Oryctolagus cuniculus: one gene and its partner. The protein of the gene in region 1 interacts with the protein of each later gene in a pairwise test. Links are inferred from orthologs where the notes say so. Each region holds a gene or a part of one and is shown on either strand. Other genes may lie near its edges.

The links. The genes of interacting proteins can lie anywhere in the genome.
Region 2: the proteins of PSMG1 (region 1) and PSMG2 interact in binary tests that used the Homo sapiens proteins (3 or more experiments, as listed by UniProt). The link is inferred for Oryctolagus cuniculus from reciprocal best matches to the Homo sapiens genes PSMG1 and PSMG2.

What each region holds. Positions count from the first base shown.
Region 1 is NC_091435.1:5,957,149-5,960,800, reverse strand, and holds part of PSMG1 (proteasome assembly chaperone 1), read right to left. Parts: intron 2,708-3,652; coding exon 2,509-2,707; intron 1,075-2,508; coding exon 938-1,074; intron 1-937. UniProt on the Homo sapiens protein: Chaperone protein which promotes assembly of the 20S proteasome as part of a heterodimer with PSMG2.
Region 2 is NC_091441.1:69,583,260-69,586,911, reverse strand, and holds part of PSMG2 (proteasome assembly chaperone 2), read right to left. Parts: intron 1,913-3,652; coding exon 1,792-1,912; intron 281-1,791; coding exon 182-280; 3' UTR 1-181. UniProt on the Homo sapiens protein: Chaperone protein which promotes assembly of the 20S proteasome as part of a heterodimer with PSMG1.

The DNA of each region.
Region 1 (3,652 bases):
ATAAGTGGATGGCTCAGTCAGCTAACTACATAGGCAAACAAAACCAGTCCTTAGTACCAACTTTGAAAGGGATCCCGATAACTCAATCTGACTATCCCTGACTCTGCTAACTTGAAAGATAAGCTGGAAGTATACTAAATCAGAGTTCCACAGTTTCGCTCTCCATTGATTCCACAGGTGGTAACTGAGCGCCTTCCCTCCATGCCGGGGACACGGTGCGATAAGGACACCAAAATGAAAAGCACCAGCTGCTGCGGCAAGGAGCTGACGAGTGAGTGAGACTGATTTGAGATCTGTGAAATGAGCGACCTCCAACAGAACCTGCCACGAAATCTTAACCTCAGTGGCCGTTCCGGAAACAAACAGGGCTGTGGGACACTGCAGTCCCTAAGCCAGGGCCAACGTGTCAGAGGACGCAGGGGAGTCCACACACCGCCCGACACGGCACAGCTCGCAGACATCCACGATGTGTTCTGTTGCTGATCCCTCTAGGAAATGAGCCCACAGATACAAACTGAGGGCAGGAAACAGGTTCATCCCCCAAGTATGATTCTCATATCTCCACATATCCCGTTCTCGGCACAATCATGGGAATACATTTTATAATAACTTGATTCATAAGATACTCAGAAATACCTTAGCAAAATTAACATCCCAAAGCAGTGAGAGACACTTAGAAAATAAAACCATCACGCCACACAGAGCTCTGGGCTTTAACAGCACTGCATCGTCCGTCACACAGAACGATTCTGCAAGGAGCACAGTGTATCTGGAAGAGCCGCTGACTACCAAATTCAGCTGTCAGGCTGGGAGCTTTGCTCCGAGGTCAAAGGATCTCCACGTGCGGTTGGGATTTAAGTTGACATCGCATGTTGGTATTTGTTATCAAGTTCATTACTGTAACGTGGGTCTTAATTCACGTGAGTGAAAACCTTACCTTAACCAAACCTTTGAAGCTTCTGGAAGAAAGCACAGGCTTAAACGCGTCGACTGTGATCAGGTCCAGTTTCATCACATCAGTGTAGCACAAGTACAGAACCGCAGAGAGGCTCCACACCTGACAGTAACTCAGAACTATGAATGCGGAGGAAAACCAGTAAGTCTAGCATACGTTCAAATTAGACTGCTTTGAATCATAAAGCTGGCTTTGTGAAACAGTCACCTCTCTTTCCTCTTTTAATCAAGTCACTTACTGCCATTCTGACTTCAAACACGTTATTTTCTTTCAAAACCAACTTATTTTCCTAATAATCTCGTTTCTGCAAATACTATCTTTATGTCTCATTGCCTAAACATACTGAGACAATTTTAAGTAGCTGAAAGATTAAAATTTTACTGATGCAAGGATTATATGTAAATAAGTAAATAATGCATAATGTAAAATATTTGGCCACTTTCTAGTAAAGTTCACATTAAAGGAAAAAAACTCATTTTAGTTTAATAAAATTCATTTTAAAAATAGCAAATATATATCACAATCTACTTACAGAAAATAAATGGCAATCTATTTCTGACATGATAGGAGGGTTTAGTGACAGCACATGAAAATCATAGGGGCTGGGGGCCGGCGCCGTGGCTCACTTGGTTAATACTCCGCCTGCAGCGGAGTAACATCCCATATGGGCACCGGTTCTAGTCCCGGCTGCTCCTCTTCCAGGCCAGCTCTCTGCTGTGGCCCGGGAGGGCAGTGGAGGATGGCCCAGGTGCTTGGGCTCCTGCACCCACATGGGGGACCAGCATAAGTACCTGGCACCTGGCTCCGGATCGGCACAGCACCGGCTGTAGCAGCCATTTGGGGAGTGAACCAACAGAAGGAAGACCTTTCTGTCTCTGTCTCTCACTGTCTATAACTCTACCTGTCAAATAAATAAATAAAAAGTATTTAAACAAAAACCATAGGGGCTTGTGTTGTGGCACAGCAGGCGAAGCCGCTGCCTGGGAAGCCGGTATGCCACGCAGGTACTGGTTTGTACCTTCTACCCAGCTCCACACTGATGGCCTGAGTACTTGGGCCCCTGCTAGCCCTGTGGGAGACCAGGATAAAGCTCCTGGCTCCTAGCTTTGGTCTGGCCCAGACTTTGGCATGGCAGCCACCTGGGGAGTGAGCCCGCAGATGGAAGAGCTCTCCCTGTAACTCTTTCAAAAAAAAAAAAAAAAAAAAAAAAAAAGCTCAAATAAATAAGTAAAATATTAAAGCAACTAGCAAGCTTCCATATCCAAACTTTTCTATTCTGCTAATTAAATGTGCTTAACAGACTTCATACGCCAGCACTGCACGGTTAGTGCTGGCCTGCGTGCTGAGTTACCACAGATCCAAAAGAACCAGAGCAGCCTTGAACCCTAACAGTTTCTAAGGAATCTCAGCTACTCCCAACACAGACAACATGGGAGTAACAGCAACTACTGGTACCAACCGTCATGAAGAGACCGCTTCACAAAGATCTCTAATCGTGAAAGAATGAACAAAACAGTAAGACGTCACCCAAACATTTGGGATTTTAAACTCACCTGCGGCGGGCAGGTCATGGACGATGTTTGGCTGCTCCAGCAGCGAACAGCACGTTTGGTCTCTGAAATTCTCGGTTTTCAGAGCTTTCAAGAAAGGAGAAGGTAGGCTGCAAGTAGATTCTGAGGTTTTATAGTCCGTAACGTGTCGACAGGTGAGAATGGTTACCTGCATGTTCTTCCTTGGACGAGAGCCAAACACCTGGCAGAAAATGGAGTTCAAATTAAAGCAGCATATAACTGTTACTGGATGGAAACAGTCCTGGGGTCACTCACTCAGCACCACGGCCAGGAAACAGCACCTCTGGCAGCAGTGGACGGCACACCCTTAACTGTCCCCGACCTGGGCTTGATCTTGGTTCTACTTCCAAGTCCCTTCCTCGTCTGTGAGCCTACTGAAGAGAGCTGTAACGGGGAGTAAATGACTGCGGGACTGTGTCCAGAGTCAGTGAGTCATGGGGCAGGTGCCGTGGCGCAGCGGGTTAAAGCCCTGGCCTAAAGCGCCAGCATCCCATATGGGTGCCAGTTCTAGTCCCAGCTGCTCCTCTTCCGATCCAGCTTTCTTCTATGGTCTGGGAAAGCAGTAGAGGGTGGCCCAAGTCCTTGGGGCCTTGTACCCACGTGGGAGACCCGGAAGAAGCTCCTGGCTCCTGATCAGCACAGCTCAGGCCATTGTGGCCATCTGGGGAGTGAATCAGCAGATGGAAGACCTCTCTCTGTGTCTCTACCTCTCTCTGTAACTGTGTCTTTCAAATAAATAAATCTTTAAAAAAAAAAGTCACAAATACACACCCTACGCTCATGACAGCAGAAAAGTGACTCTCATTCAATTCATTTTTTTTTCCCACGTCAGAGGCAGACAAGAGAGGGAGAACTCCCATCAGCTGGTTCGTTCCCCAGATGTCCACCATGGCCAGGGCTGGGCTGACGTCAAGCCAGGCACTGGGAACTCAAATTAGGTGACCCACACTGGTGGCAGGACCCAGGCACTGGAGCCATCGCTGCTGGGCTGCTGGCCTACTAGGGTCTGCACTGGCAGGAAGCTGGAGTTGGGAGCCAGGGCCACTGTGAAACCCAGGCGCTCCGATGTGGGACACAGACACCCTAACCAGCACCTGGTAGTGAGGCCAGACGCCCGCCCTCACTT
Region 2 (3,652 bases), on another chromosome or scaffold:
CTGAGGAAAAGCATGGCAAAAGACTTTCAGTTAATCCTTTTTTTTTTTTAGAGATTTTTGTGAAAAGTAAATATTTACTTCCTAATACATTCTCAGATAATACAAATTTTCACATTGAAGGTTTAACAGTTGTGTTGGTAATAAGTATCCTGGGATACAAGGTCTAAAACCAAAACACGGGTCAAAAGAGTGCAGGAGGAAGACCACTGCCAAAGAGTAATCTCCAGGAACTTGGGATTTTCCATGGCAAGGTGGATGCTGTAGGGTCATCACCCTGTACCTGAAAAAGAGGAAAAAACAAAAGCCTTTCAGCTTCACCAACAAATCTCCTTTTAATACGCAGGTATTAAAAAGCTCTCCCTGTGGAGTCCCATGGGGTAGCCAGGTTTTACTGTAAGGAAAGATAAAATATAATAAGTTTCTATGTCTGAATATCACCTAAGGATAAATTTCTTCAAGTTCTTTTTTTTTAATTTTTTTGGACAGGCAGAGTGGACAGTGAGAGAGAGAGAGACAAAGAGAAAGGTCTTCCTTTGCCGTTGGTTCACCCTCCAATGGCCGCCGTGGCCGGCGCATCATGCTGATCTGAAGCCAGGAGCCAGGTGCTTCTCCTGGTCTCCCATGCAGGTCAGGGCCCAAGGACTTGGGCCATCCTCCACTGCATTCCCGGGCCACAGCAGAGAGCTGGCCTGGAAGAGGGGCAACCGGGACAGAATCCGGCGCCCCGGCTGGGACTAGAACCCAGTGTGCCGGCGCCGCAAGGTGGAGGATTAGCCTAGTGAGCTGCGGCGCTGGCCATCAAGTTCTAAATCATAAAAATACGCCAGGAAGGCTATAGATGGAGTCTATTAAATAAAATCAAATTCAAGAGGAATAGGGGCTTTAAAAAGAATCAGTGTGGGGCCGGCGCCGCGGCTCACTAGGCTAATCCTCTGCCTAGCGGCGCCGGCACACCGGGTTCTAGTCCCGGTCGGGGCGCCGGATTCTGTCCCGGTTGCCCCTCTTCCAGGCCAGCTCTCTGCTGTGGCCAGGGAGTGCAGTGGAGGATGGCCCAGGTGCTTGGGCCCTGCACCCCATGGGAGACCAGGAAAAGCACCTGGCTCCTGGCTCCTGCCATCGGATCAGCGCGGTGCGCCGGCCGCAGCACGCCGGCCACGGCGGCCATTGGAGGGTGAACCAACGGCAAAGGAAGACCTTTCTCTCTGTCTCTCTCTCTCACTGTCCACTCTGCCTGTCAAAAAAAAAAAAAAAAAAAAAAAAAAAAGAATCAGTGTGATCTGTGTCAGTTTTTTCTTGGCAAAGCACAAATTAAAAAGACAGTTACCCACCAGATAAAGAAGCCTGATGGACTTCTGCCTGAAGGCTAACTCATTTCTCTGGGTGTCACATTCTCTTCTCATTACACAGAAAAGTCCTTTAAGCATGACACATATCTAATAGCTACAGTATAGCTCACACAGTATTACCTTCTGCATCCTTTAAAAAGAGAAACCTAAAACCCAAAGACTTGTTTATTTTTATAAGGATCTGTCTGGCATAATTAATGTAAAATAAGCAATAAGTACAATGAAGAACTTAGGATTGTATTTCTTGGAAAACTAGTATTCATGAAACAACTGTAAATAATATGTTGACTAACTGTCCTGATTTCCAAAAATTCAGCTTAAATTAAATTCTGTGTAAAGATATGTCTATATTGAACATAAACTTAATTTATTTGGTTTATTTACAAAATGTCAGTTAATGAATACATAACCAGAGAAATAAAAGCTTATGTTACAGAAAACTTACATGTGGTTTGATTATTTGAAGCCATTCGTTTAGATATTCAACAAGACCCAATGCATCTGGGATATTGTCCCCTTCCGAGACAAATTTTAGCAGAACTGCCATCTGGATATCTTTAGAACAGCTACAAAAATAAATAAAAATAATAATTTAGTATTCTTCCACTGATAGAAGACGCTGATTCTAGCATGTCTGTTTTTATAGCCAGGATGACATTCCGGGTTTTAGGCGAGGAGGGAACACCATGTCCTAAGATCACTCATTTATTCCCCCTTGCCCAATGCATACCCTTATGTCTGTGGAAACAAAACTAGCAGTCATCTAACAACTGCCTGGGGCACATGCCAGTCTGCACCTCACCCAAGCTGCATGAAAACCATCCTTCCTGCCCCATGTGAGGTCTATTATTATTCTTTAATTAAATTTTTTTAAATTTGAAAGGCAGAGGGAGAGGGGAGAGAGGAGAGAGGGAGAGAGACCTTCCATTCCCCAGATGGCCACCAATGGCTGGGGTAGGGTCAGACTGAAGCCAGGAGACAGGAATTCCATCCAGGTCTCCCACATAAGTGGCAGGGGCCTAGGCACTAGGACCATCTTACATTGCTGTATCAGGTGCACTAGCAGGGAACTGGATATGAAGTGGAACAACTAATTTGTTGGGTGCTTGTATGGGATGCTGGCATCATAGGCCATGGCTTAACTTGCTACACCACAACACTGGCCCCCTGAGGTCTGCTCTGATCCATCCCCAAATCTACTCTTAGAAGATAGCTATTTTCAGAAGCACTGTAGCAAGGAGCCTGAAAGAAAGTAACTCTCCAGTTACTAATCTAAAGCAGCAAAGGAAAACTGGAAGAGGCTGGAACAAAGGGAAGAGAATTTACTACCACTTCTGACAGATACCTTTTACTGAGTGGTTATTATGTGCCAAGCACTATTTGAACATTTTATGATTCAATCATGATGACAATTCTTGAGAAATCTGTAATTATTTCCATTTTATAAATCAATCCATTTAGAATAATGGAAACAAGGACAGAATGCCAGGATTCAAATTCTGATGGTAGGGAGAAAAATATCATTGTATTCTTGCAATCATATCTACAACATTCATAAAATCTTCTATTTTAATAACTAAAAATGTAATAATAAAAAAATTCTGGCTCTCTTACTCACTAGATAAACTGGGCAATTAATTTAACTCAGGGCTCTGGGGTTTTCCATTGATAAAACAGGAATAATGAACAGAACCTACTTCACAGGCTGTTGTGAGGCTTACAAGAGGTAATGGAGGAGCCAGCACTGTGGCATAGTGGGTAAAGCCGCCACCTGCACTGCCAGCATCCCATATAGGCACCGGTTCGAGTCCTGGCTGCTCCACTTTCAATCCAGCTCTCTGCTATGGCCTGGGAAAGCAGTAGAAAATGCCCCAAGCCCTTGAGCCCCTGCACCTGCATGGGAGACCCAGAAGCAGCCCCTGGCTCCTGGCTTCGGATCGGTGCAGATCCGGCCCTTGCAACCAATTGAGGAGTGAACCAGAGGATGGAAGACTCTCTCTCTGCCTCTCCTTCTCTCTATGTAGCTTTGACTTTCCAATAAAATAAATAAATTAAAAAAAAAAAAAAAAGGTAATGGAGGCAAAGTGCTTTGCCAATCTACAGTCAATACTATGGAAATGTCAGCTAATATTATGACACACAGGTTCACAGACACTGGAGACACAGTTAACCTGCCAAAGTTCTATATATCTCTTAAAATTATTTATTTGTTTATTTATTTTTATTTGAAAGGGAGAAAGAGAGAGAGAGAGAATATATCTCCCATCTACTGGTTCACCCCCAAAAGGCTCGAAACAGCTGGGGGT